2 linked regions of the Rhinolophus ferrumequinum genome follow. The protein of the gene in region 2 purifies or fractionates together with the protein of the main gene of each other region. This does not show direct contact. Links are inferred from orthologs where the notes say so. Each region holds a gene or a part of one and is shown on either strand. Other genes may lie near its edges. The genes, in order: ISG15 and HERC5.

Region 1 (5,725 bases), on a different chromosome or scaffold from region 2:
CAGGAAGTTTAAGTTAGTTTGTAACTATGCCCCAATATTAACCAAAGGCCCCTTTATAAGTGGCTGTTGTAATTTCACAAATAGGATAGTAAGGTTTATGACTAGAATTTAAATATTTTGTGGCTATGTTATTAGGTGTACACAACCTTCTACTGAGAAGGTGAAAACCTATTGTTATGCGACCTTCTGTGTCTCCAGTAAACTTTGCCTATAAGATTTCTTTATTAATATATTAATAAAATTGTTAAGTGGCCACATCTGCTTCCTTTTGGTTAACATTTGTATAGTATGTTTCTTTCCATCCTCTTTCAAATTTCCTGCATTCTTATATTTCAAATGATTCTTGTCTTCTGTAAGCCACATAAAGTAAGATTATTTTTCACCAGCCTGACAATCCTGGTCATTTAGTCCCCCTGGATTTCGGACCTCTGGCCTGCAGACCTGTGAGGGAATAAATTTCTGTTGTGTTAAGCCACCAGTTTGTGGTAATTTGTTATGACAGCCCCAGAAAACTGACAGGTGAGCCCTAGGTTCTGTCAGTTTGCCTCCTTAATGCCTTTGTATTTAGTTCCTCCTGTCAAAAGCAGAAGGACAATTGGTGACATGGGATGAAGTAACTAACAGAAAGGGAAGATTCTAGTACTAAATGTCAGTATTAAGAAGTCAGGAAAAAAAAAAAAAAAGAAGTCAGGAGAGGGCTGGCCCGGTGGCTCACATGGTTGGAGCTCCGTGCTCCTAACAGCAAGGTCGCCGGTGGGCTGCCGTGTGCTGCCAGGAGCGGCCGGTGGCCACTGTGAGTGGCCAGCGTGAGTGGCTGGCTGGCAGCTGGCGAGAGCTGTTGTGAGCTGCTGTGAGCGGCGGATTGATGACTGACAACCGACTGCCTGAGCTGGGGGGAGCGCAAGGCTCATAATACCAGCAGGGGCCAAGGAGATGTGTCCTACACAACTAGACTGAGAAACAGCAGCTTGAATCCGAGTGCGCGGGGGAAGGCAGAAAAAGGGGGGGGGAAGAAGTCAGGAGACATAGAAACCATGTTTAATAATGGTCATCTGAGGGGGGTTGGAGGGATTTTAACATTCTGCATGTTCTTTTTTATTGTTTCAAAAAATGCTGGTGGTTTTCTTTTTATAATACCAACATTATTTATGCAAGGAATGAGTCAAGATATAAACTTAAAATAATAAAAAGAAGTTAAAAATCAGTTTGGTTTTTTCTTGTGTGTTAACAATTTTGGTGCCCTGTGAGTTTTTTTTGGGGGGGACATGGAATGGTCAAGATTCATATTCAGCGTTTTTTTTTTCCCAACTTGCAAGATGGCGGGTGAAAAAGCTGAGAAGCCGGACACTAAGGAGAAGAAACCTGAAGCCAAGCAGGCTGATGCTGGTGGCAGGGTTAAGAAGGCTAACCTCAAGGCCAAAACGCCTAAGGAGGGGAAGCCCCACTGCAGCCGAAACCCTGTCCTGGTCAGAGGAATCGGCAGCTATTCCCGCTCAGCTATGTATTCCCGAAAGTCCATGGACAAGAGGAAGTATTCATCAGCTAAAATGAGGATTGAAAAGAAAAAGGGGAAGGTTCTTGCTACTGTCACAAAACCAGTTGTTGGCGACAAGAATGGTGACACCTGAGTGGTTAAACTTCGCAAAATGCCTAGATACTGTCCTACTGAAGACATGCCTCGAAAGCCGCTGAGCCATGGCAAGAAGCCCTTCAGTCAGTAGGTGAGAAAACCTGGGGCTAGCATTGCTCCTGGGACCATTCTGGTCATCCTCACTGGGCACCATAGAGGCAAGAGGGTGGTTTTCCTGAAGCACCTGAGCAGTGGCTACGTGTGACTGGACCTCTGTCCCTCGATCGAGTTCCTCTGCGTAGAACACACCAGAAATCTGTCATTGCCACCTCCACCAAAATTGATATCAGTGGTGTGAAAATCCCCAAACATCTCACTGATGCTTACTTCAAGAAGAAGCTGCATAAGCCCAGACACCAGGATCTCCAACACAGAGTAAGAGAAATATGAGATTACAGAGCAGCGCAAAATTGATCAGAAAGCCGTGGACTCGCAAACTCGGCCAAAAGTCAAAGCTGTTCCTCAGCTCCAGGGCTACTTCCATTCTGTGTTTGCTCTCACAAATGGGGTTTATCCTCACAAACTGTTGTCTACATTAATTACGAAGAACCTAATTAAATGCCTGAACTGTTAAAAAAAAAGATTCATATTCAAAACATTTTGTTTTTTTCCACTTTTACTTTTTTATATTAGACTTTCTTTATTTATATCTAACTTATGCCTGTTATGTGCTATTTGTAATAGTAAAAATTGGGTAACAACCTAAATATTCAACAATGTGGGATGGTTAACTAAATTACATTCTACACAGTACTGTAATGGACTCATTATACTAAGGGGAACCATTAAATGGTTGCATTTTATGGAACCATTAAAACAACTAGCACAAAGTATCTATTAATATGGAAAGATGTTTATGATACACTGTTATGAATAAAGCAGGAGTATAAGGGTTTTTCAGTTTTGTTTTTTATTGAGGTGAAATTCATGTAACATACAGGTAACCATCTTAAATTACATAATTGAGTGGCATTTAGTATATTTACGATGCTGGGCAGCCATCACCCCTATCTAGTTCCAAAACATTTTTGACAGCCACAAAGGAGGCCTTATATTCATAAAACAGTCACTTTCCACCCCAACCCTCCCCTTGGCAACCACAATTTTTGGTCTCTGTGGATTCGCCTGTTCTGGACATTTCACATAAATAGAATCATACAGCATGTGGCCTTTTGTGTCTGGCTCCTTTCACTGAGCATAATGTTTTCCAGGTCCAAACATGTCGTAGGGGGTGTCAGGGCTTGGTTCCTTTTTATGGCTGCATAGTATTCCATTGTAAGGTTAGGCTGCATTTTGTTGATGCATCCATCTGTGGATGGATTTGGCTGTTTGTACAGCTTTTAACATTTGTGTATTGTGACCAGTGCTGCTATGAACATCTGTGCACAAATACTTGTTTGAACACCTGCTTTCAATTATTTGGGGTGTATATCTTGGAGTGGAATTGCTGGATCCTATGAAATTCTGTTTTATCTTTTTGAGGGACGACTAGACTGTTTTCCACAGCCATCATACCATTTTACACTCCCACCAGCAGCATGTGAGGACTCCAATTTCTCTACATTCTCATCAACACTTGTTATTGTTGTTCTTTTTTTTTTTTACTACAGTCTTGCTAGTGGGTGTGAGGTGGTGTCTCATTCCGGTTTTGATTTTCATTTTCCTAATGACTAATGATGTTGAGCATCTCTTCATGTTTGTTGGCCATTTGTATATTTCCTATGGAGGTATGTGTATTCAATTCCTTTGCCCAATTTTTGAGTTATATTTTTGTTGTTGAGTTGTAAGAATTCTTTATATACTATGAGTTACTAGACCCTTATCTGATATATGATTTGCAAATATTTTTTCCGATTTTTGGGATAGTCTTTTCACTTTCTCCATAATGTCCATGAGTTTTTTTGTAGAAAAGATACATCCCTTTCATTAAAAAAAAAAAAAAAAAAAAAACAGAAAAAACACCCAAGCTGAACAAATATTGTCCAAAACCAGTGGTAATTATCTCGGGGTAGTTTCGAGTGTCACTATTTTATGTTATTTCCCGAATACCCATGATCGTGCTTTCTAAGTTTACTAATTTTGCAAGTTGGTAAATGGAGAGTGAAACGCTCTAATCATTACTTCACGTTTCTATGACTTTTGTGAATCACATAAAGGACTTGGATATGTAGGGAGTTTCTGAACATACACGCCTGCGGGGGGGAACGGGGGCGGTTTCTATTTAGTATCCCTGGGCTCACCTCCTCCGCGTCTCTTACAGTTTTTCAGATTTGTTTCTGCTGTGGGGCTAGCCTTGGGAAACGGAAACTGAAACCGAAGAGGACTTCAAGGGCCAGTGAGACTGGCTCTCAGACACGGCGCCCCGCCCTCTGACGTGTGTAGCTCATGTTCAGAAAAAGGCTGGGCGGTTAGGGCCGGGAGGAGTTGCGAGCGGAGAGGCAGCAAGCTCATCACTACCTGTGGAGGACCTGGTGCCAGAGCCCACAGCCATGGTGAGGCGGGTTGACAGGTGGGGCAGGTGGGCTGGGCACTCGTCGACTTGTCTCCCCCTCCCCTTGGCAGGACCTGGGGGAGGGACAGAGCACCTACTGTGTGCCAGACCAGTGGAGCTGCAGAGCTCCGCAGTTTCCCAAGTGTGGTGCAGGGACAGGGCTCCCGACGTCAGGGTCTTGGTCTTGGAAGGTGGGTTCTGCCCAGTGGCCAACTCTGAGGTCCCTTGGGGGGCATCTTAGCTGAAGGGAGGCAAAGTGGTGGTCGTGGGCGGCTGGCCGTTCTTCCAGAGAGGACCCCCTTGTGCGTCTCCAGCGCCTGGGGTCCCTCTCTTGGTGGAGAGGACCCAGAAGAGGGAACAGCGTCCTGGAGCCTAGGGGCTTGCCCTGCGGCCAGTACATAGCGTGTAGAGGCCCGAGGACTGGTGCCAGGGTCTCTGAGCTCCGTGTGTTGCACAGATAGGGGAACTGAAGGTGAAGATGCTGAGTGGCAAGGATTTATTGGTGCCCCTGAGGGACTCCATGCTTACAGCGGACCTGAAGCAGCGGATCGCCCAGGAAACTGGCGTGCCTGCCTTCCAGCAACGCCTGATCTCCCAGTCGTCCGGTGCGGAGCTGCAGGACAGGGCTACCCTCATCGGGCAGGGTCTGAGCCCCGGCAGCACGGTCCTGCTGGTGGTGCTGAGCGACGACCCCCTGAGCATTCTGGTGAAGAACGAGAGGGGTCGCAGCAGAGCCTACGAGGTCCAGCGGACGCAGACGGTGGCTGAGCTCAAGCAGCAGGTGCACCAGCAGGAGGGCACGCCTGCCGACCAGTTCTGGCTGAGTTTCCAGGGGAAGCCCATGGAGGACCAGCACCAGCTGGGGGAGTATGACCTCAGGCCCCATTGCACCGTGTTGATGAACCTGCGCCTGCGCGGGGGCGGGACGGGGCCAGAAGGGCCACGCTGAGGTCCCCACCGAAGTTCCCACCCAGTGCTTTAATAAAAATTGATGCCAAGTTAATTGGCTGCCTCTGCGTCTGCCCTCGCCCTACTCCCAGCACTCTGGCATCTGCCAGTTCTCCATTCTGCACCCCTGCTACTGAGCTTGGGGGAGGGGAGGTGGAGGGAGTAGGGCAAGGGGACCCAGGGTCCTTGGGTGGTTACCAGGCTGGGCTACCAAGTAAGAAGCAGCCTGATGGGATCAAAATAGTGAATGCCCACCCTGGAGAAATTGAACATGTGTCCCCACACCTTTGGAAAACTAACTGCTAGAGAAAGAGAAAGAAGCACATATGGAAACCATCCCTGCCCCAGGTGGAGCCGTGGTCAGCCCCTGCACAAATGGTCCCCCTCCAACATCTGGGTCAGCAGACAGCACAGGGGAGGGAAGGTCTGGTCAGGTCCCAAAGGCCACAGGTGAGGTCCCGACGGGGACCAGCACCCCTGGAAGTGGTGAGGAAGTGAGTCCCTAAGACCTGCCTGGGGGTTGTGGGTGCAGTCTCCTGGCCCTCCAGGGCCCCAGCAGCCTGCCCTGTCCAGCCTGCATTGGTCTGGGGAGGGGTGAGGACAGGGCCTTGAACACACATCACCATCGGGGTGAGCTGGGGAACGCAGACTGTTCG
Region 2 (7,303 bases):
CCATGAACTCACTGAGGACAAAGACCAAATGTCATTTTTCTATGCTCCACATGGTCCTGTGTAGTTTTCTCTACACAAGGATACTCAATAAATATTTATTGAATGAAGTGATTAATTTCTTCATTTTCATTTTAAGTTTTGCTCTTTCTAGGAAATAACCAAAGGTTATTCCTTTCTAGTTTTTCTTACAGGAACTGATAGACAGCCTGTAAGAGGATTACAAGAAATGGGAATCATATTTCGCTGTCCTGAAACTTTCAGTGAAACAGATTGCCCAAGATCACTCGTATGTCATAATATTCTGGACCTTCCTAAATATTCTACAATGGAAAGAGTGGAAGAAGCACTTCAAGTAGCCATCAACAGTAACAGAGGATTTGTCACAACCAAGGTCACACAGTAATAGTGACCTCTGAGAGTCTCAGTGAGACCTCAGATTCTCAGGTCCTCTCTCACCTGTGATTGTGATGTTCTTCTTCAGGTCTACATAGTACAAAGGGTTGATGGATTTTAATTAGAATTAGTTGATAAATGTTGAGATAAACAATAAAGTGATGAATCAAGATAATATTTTTAATGAATCATATTTCCTGATACCTAAACTTGCTATTAGAATGTTTATTGAATTACTTCCTGAATAATAATTATCATTTAAAAATAGGCTGAATATTAAAAACTAACATATTTTTTAAAATATTATTCATCTAATAAACACTGCCTGCAAATATGAAAGTCTGAAAAAATAAACAAAAATGTAAACTAATTCAACATGATTTTGAGGCATATAGATGTATATTTTATACTGTGGAATATTGCCAGAGTTTTAATTTTAACCAAATGATGAATAATTTTTTTGAAAAATCTGAAAATCTAATTGTTAAGGGATTCATTAATTCATTGAATAATTACTTATGCTCAATCATTCTAAATGCAGACATCATTATTTTGGTTAAAAATACTGAGTCCAACCAGGAACTCTTGTTTAATTATAACTGGGGAAATGTGAAGAACCTGAAATATGTCTCAGCATCATGGCTATAGAGTAAATTAAAGAAGAGATGTAAGTATGGTTGGAAATGACCAATGAATTTTGTGATGAGTTCTATCTAATGTTAAATTTTAAACTAAGCTGTTCTATAAATGCCTATTATTTCAAGCCATACACAGAGCCTTGTGTTGGTGGTACTTTGGGAAAGGGAAGCCTATGGGGTAAAGTCCACGTTGGGGTGCTAATGTGGAAAGAGAGCAGGATCACCTGAAGATAGAACAGAGATAGAGATTTCACCAAGGACAATAGAATATGAGGTGGTCAGTAGAAACATAAGCCCCCCCAGCGAATCCTCAGTTATTTTGGACATGTTCGGTTTCTGCAACAAATGGAATGAAGACCCAGATATATTCTTTTTGAATTTTAAGGGAAAAGGTATTATCTAAACCTTAAGGATCCTCAGGCCCCTGACTTTCGGGTTGTGTTCGTCAGGCCTTTAACATCCAACATTACTTTTCCTAATGCCAATGGGTGAACTGTACTAAACATCTTTGCACTCTTTCAGAAAACAGAGAATAAGGGAACACTTAACAATTGATTCTATGAGGCCAGCATTATCCTAATACCAAAACCAGACAAAGACATTACAGGAAAAGGAAACTACAAATCTCCCTCATGAACATAGACACAAAAATATGTTAAAAAATTTTTGGCTAATACCTTGTGACTAAGTGGGGTTTAGTCCAGAAATGCATTTGAAAATCCATTATATTTCACCATAATAGACAGAAAAAAATCATATAATTACAACAGAGGCAGAAAAAAACCTCACAAAATTAATAGCTATTGATGGATGATAAATACTCCTAGCAAACTAAGACCAGAAGAGCACTTACTCAACCTGTTGGAGCCTACACACAGCTAACTTCATACTTTCTGGTGAAAGACAATGCTCTCCTACTAAAATTGGGAACAAGGAGAGGATGTCTCATAGTTTGTATTCAACATTGTACTAGATGTACTAGTCCATACAATAGGCCAGAGAGAATAAAAGGCATGTTGACTGGAAAATAAGGAGTACAACTATCTTATTTATAGACTGCATGGTCATCTATGTGTAAGATTCTAAGGGATTTACAAAACTACTAGAATTATTAAAAATAGAAAGGTTTCAGGATTCAGGGAAGTATATAAAAATTAATTGTATTTCTGTATATACTCACAACACTCATAAATTGAAATTTTAAGAAGTATCATTTGCAATATCAACAAAAAAAATACCTGAGGATGCATTTTTTTCAGGATAAATTTAAAATATGTTTGACTATACACTGAAAACTAGAAAATATAGCTGGAAGAGATTAAAGAAGCTTTAAATTAATGGAGAAAGATATGCTTGTGGACAGAAGAATCAATATTATTAGCATGTTAATTCTTTCCAAATTGATCTAATTTGGTATAATCTCAAAAATCCCTGCTGTTTTGTAGAAATTGATAAACTAATCATAAAATATATATGAAAATGCAGAGGACCTAGAATAGCCAAAACCACAATGGAGAAGTACAACAATGGAACACTTGAATTATTTTAAGACTTGGAATCCACAGTAATTCCAGGCAGTGTAATATGGGAGTAAAAATAGACATATAGATCAATAGAACACAACAAGTTCAGAAATAAATGCAATCATATATGGATCAACAGTTTTGACAAAGATGCCAAGGCAATTCAATGGGGAAAGGCAATCTCGAACAATTGGAAATCCATAAGAAAAAAAATAAACATCTCCCCTTACCTCACACAATAAACAAGAATTCATTTGAAATGTGACAAAGACCTGAAACTATAAAACTTCTAGAATATTTAAGAAAATCTTTGTAATCTCGGGTTAAGCAAAGATTTCTTAAGTAGGACAAAAAAGGCATGAATTAGGTAAAAGAAAAAAAATATTGCATCAAAATTAAAACGCTAGCTCTTTAAAAGACACGTTTAATAAAATTAAAAGACAAGCCACAGATTGGTACAAATCATCTGAAAACAAATATCTAATAAAAGACTTGATATATAACAAAGAACTCTGATGTATATGGAGCTTTTAGATGATAAGCAATTGAATAAATGGGCAAAAGATATGAATAGACACTTCACCAAAGAGAGATTAGCACTAAGAAGCACATAAAAAAAAACTCAACACCATTAAACATAGGGAAAGGGATATTAAAACTACAATAAGATACCACTATAGACTATTATTAAAAAAGACTGATAATACGAAATATTGGCAAAGACTGATAATACGAAATATTGGCAAAGATAGAGAACAATTGGAACGCCCATAAATTTCTGGAGGGAATGCAAATTGCTGGAGGTACAGCACTTTGGAATTCCAAAGTTTGGTAGTTTCTTACAATAACATTCACGTACTTACCATCTGACAGAGCAGTTTCATTTTTTAGGTATTTATTCCTCCCCCCAAATTAAAACATTGATCCACTAAAAGACCTGTTCACGAATATTCATAGCACCTTCATTCATTGTAGTCAAAAACTGTAAAGGACTGAAATGCCCTTCAATTGAACAGATCAACAAATTGTGGTATATACATATAATGGAATACCACTCAACAATAATGAAGAGGGAACTTCTGACGGAAAACAACAGGATGAATCTCAAAAGCATTATGATAATGAAAAACGGCAGACACAAAAGCCTGCATAAGTTTTATTCCATTTGTGAGAAATTCTAGAAAAGGCAAGAACTATATTGGCAGAAAGCCGATCCCTGGTTGCCAGGCAACGCGGTGTGAGCGGAGGGACTGGGTACATATTTTCACTTTCATCACTTTCATCACAAACTTGAGCTTTCCTTACTGCCTTAGTTTTTGGAAATTCTGCAAGTCCGACTGTGTTAGGGCTCCTCCTAGTGGAACTGCATTGTTTCTTCGAAGGCCATTTGGTCCAGTAGTTCAGATGGCCACTGCCCGCCCAGGGACGCGTTCTCAGCCCCGCCAGTCATCTCATCACCTGCCACCGACCTGGGCTCCTCGGCCGTCTCGCAAACCTTTCAGGAAAGGTTCAAGTTTCCCTTCCAGTTTCCGTTTCGGTACCGCCCCCTTGAAAAAAATTCTGTTTCGTTTCCCACTAGACCTGCCGGCTCCGCCCCCAGCCCGCAGCACGTTGGGAGGCTGGCGTCTGAGCAGGGGCGGAGTAGGGGCGGAGTAGGGGTGCGGGCGGTCCCTCGACGCCACTGAGCAGTTCGCTCGCCGGCTCCGCACCGCGCCGTCTGAGGGCAGTGGAATCTTTTAGGCCTTGGCCCTTTCTCTCCTTCCTCTTGCCTCCCGGCTGGCTGAAGCCCCGTCTCCGAAGAGCGGAGGTGCGGCTATGGAGCCTAGGAAAGCGGCGATGGAGCGGAGGCCACCGAGGAGGTCGCGGGGCGGCGCGCGCTCGACGTTCCGGCCGGCCGCCAAGTCCCCGCCACCACCCACCTCCCGGCCCGCCGCGACCCGGCCCCCCGCAGAGCCTCGGGGCCCGCAGCTCTGGCTCTTCCCCACGGCCCCGGGCCTCCGCAACGCGCTGCTCCGGAAAACTGAGGTGATGCGCCAGATGTGCTGCACGCGCGGGCGCCTGGTGGTGCTGGAGCGCGGCGGGGCTGGCGTCGAGGTGCACCAGCTGCCGGCGGCGAGCGACGGCGGCAGGAAGCCAAGTGAGTGGGCCCGGGCAACGCCAGCTCGGGGCGCGCGCGGGCACTGACACTGCTCTCCAGGGTGGCGGGAGTTGTGGGTACGCGGTCCCTCTGTACATGGGAAGGGAAACTCCGAAGGGAACCCGGCGCCGTAGCGGTCCGCGGTGCCTCAGAAAGGCGCCGGGCCTGGGTGGTTTTTCGCGTTCGCGCGTGCGGCACCCTTGAGGTCTCCATCCTGCTCCTAGAAAGCGCGGAGTTTGCGGGGTAGTAGCGAGAAGTAGTAGATCGTGCTCTCCTCAAGTTACCCGCGCGGAGGGAGTGTATTGCCAGCAACTTCATTTTAGCCAGTCGGCCGTTATCAGGGGTTTCTGTTCAAAGTTTGTTTTTGACTTGCTCCCTGTAAGAACATAGCGTATCCGATTTTGTGTCTTTGGAGAACACAATTATCTTGTTTTCGATGGCAATATGTTACATTTGCAAGCAGTTGAAGGAGCGCTTTCACTTGCACTGCTCCGAGGGAGTAATCTCCGTGGAGATTAGATCACGTACTGTGACTCCGATTTTACAAGTGGGGGAAAGCAAATGGCCACATTCTTACTGTTAAAAACTTTGGCCCTTTGATAAGTGAAGAAAATGGTGTTCTGTTCGTTTTGCTCTTAACTTGAGCGAAGTCGAGCTTCTTTTCTTTTGCTACTGGTCGTCGCATTCCTTTTTGATGAACTGCCTGTTCGTATATTCGCCTGGCTTTTAAAAAAAATTGAGTTGTTAATCTCTTTCTTAACTACTTTGAAAGAGTTATTTGAATTTTGAGTAAGAGGAGCCCTTTGTCAGTCATGTACGTTGTAGTATTTTACCCAACTTGCCTTTAGTTGATGTTATTTTATACTCTACTTCATTAATCTTTTCTTTTGAGGAGGCTTACGGATTTTGTGTTATGTTAGAAAGCTACCCACACAAGTGTTTTTCTTTTTTGCACTCATCTTTATAGAAATTTTAAGCATTTGTTTTTAAAGTTAAAGTTTTTGATACGCTTGGATATTATTTTGATTTAAGGAGTGAGGTAGGGGAATCTGGATTGGTTTGTTTTCACCAAATGGCCACCCAGGTATCCCAATACCTTTTTTGAATAACCCTTCTTTTTTAAACTGATTCGAAATGCCGAGACTCAAAATTGTTGATCTGTTGGGCCATTTCGTCTTTATTACCAAACCGTTTTGGTTCTCCTAGCATTTGTATAGTATGAAGCGGTTTGTGCTTTGAGATTTTACGTGAATCAATTCTATTTCGTTAGAACTAAAAAGTAAAACAAGATCCCAAATCTCCTGTATCCTACATTAATTTTTGTGATAGAATTAAATGAGGTAAGAGTAAATGGTAACTAGTGGACAATTTCAAATCTTAAAAATTCTTCTAACATCATCCCCGTCCCTCAAACACAGTTTAAGAATATAAGCCTTGGGTTTTATATGAAGCAGTCCATGAGGGGTTTATTATTATTTGTTTTGTTTTTGGAAAGAGTACAGCTCAGAATACACATTATATTTGCTCCTACGGTGAGTTATGTTGTCCAAAAATTGTTGTATTTTCTTTCTTCTGACTTTTTCATTTCTGTCTCTTTAAATTTAGTTTCTTTCTCAACTTGTTAAATAGGAATCTAATATCTAATTTTAATTGTTTTAAAAAACAGTATAAATCAGTGCTTTCCCAAATTAAAAGAAAAAATCAGTTGTCAAGACAGTAGTCATTACTAATTTGTCTGCTTTCTGTACTTGATTTTTCTTTAAAGAGAAGTTCTTATTAAGTCAAAGTTGAAGTTTTCCCCCCACGTGTTTTAAGTGTATTGTAATGAAATCATTAATAACAGTGGGTAATAATCAGAGTGATGATAGTTTCTGGTTGGATTTGCTCTGCAGAGTGCATTAAGTTAGGAAAAAAAATGAAGATACATTCCGTGGACCAAGGAGCAGATCACATGCTGATTCTATCCTCAGATGGCAAACCATTTGAGTACAACTATAGCATAGAACATGCAAGGTAGGGAACTTTTTTCTTTCGTTAAAAAATTTTAAAGTTTTACTCAAAAGTCAATCATAGTTTTTGTAGAAAAATGTTACTTTATATAATCTTTGTCCCTCCTTCACATCTTGGCATTTACAGTAAACTGGTCATGGCATTTAAAGTAAACAATGAATTTTGAACTGACTAGTTAATTCCTTGAGTAAACTACAAATCAATTTTTGTCTCCTAGAACACTTACCAAGTATTGCTTTGACATTTAAAGGAAATGATTGGTTAGTCTGCGTAGACCCAAATTGGACTTTCATATTCATTAACTCACTTAACCTCATAATAATCTTATAAATTAGATTTCCAGAAATAAAAGTTTTCAACCTAGGAAAAAAAATGCATTTTCATGGCATGGTCTGTGAGACTTTCTCCTGGTAGATCATGTGAATTAGAGCTTATTTTCATCTTTTATTATTCTTGCATCATAAAATTATTGTTTGCAAAAGAGTCTGAGAATCATCTTATTACAGTTACATAATGCACATTATTTTCCTTTTAAACAATAATTAAAATATATTGTATTTTTTATAATTTAGATGTACTGAATATGAGGCAATAAATTGAAA

What was found.
Region 1: the proteins of HERC5 (region 2) and ISG15 purify together in Homo sapiens (affinity purification with western blotting; 3 studies listed by BioGRID, with this or other methods). This does not show direct contact. The link is inferred for Rhinolophus ferrumequinum from reciprocal best matches to the Homo sapiens genes HERC5 and ISG15.

What each region holds. Positions count from the first base shown.
Region 1 is NC_046292.1:228,645-234,369, forward strand, and holds ISG15 (ubiquitin-like protein ISG15), read left to right. Parts: upstream 1-3,983; 5' UTR 3,984-4,119; coding exon 4,120-4,122; intron 4,123-4,578; coding exon 4,579-5,070; 3' UTR 5,071-5,144; downstream 5,145-5,725.
Region 2 is NC_046288.1:42,409,540-42,416,842, forward strand, and holds the start of HERC5 (E3 ISG15--protein ligase HERC5), read left to right. Parts: upstream 1-4,231; 5' UTR 4,232-4,369; coding exon 4,370-4,691; intron 4,692-6,583; coding exon 6,584-6,704; intron 6,705-7,303. Other genes in the region: probable E3 ubiquitin-protein ligase HERC6, read left to right, coding at 180-403.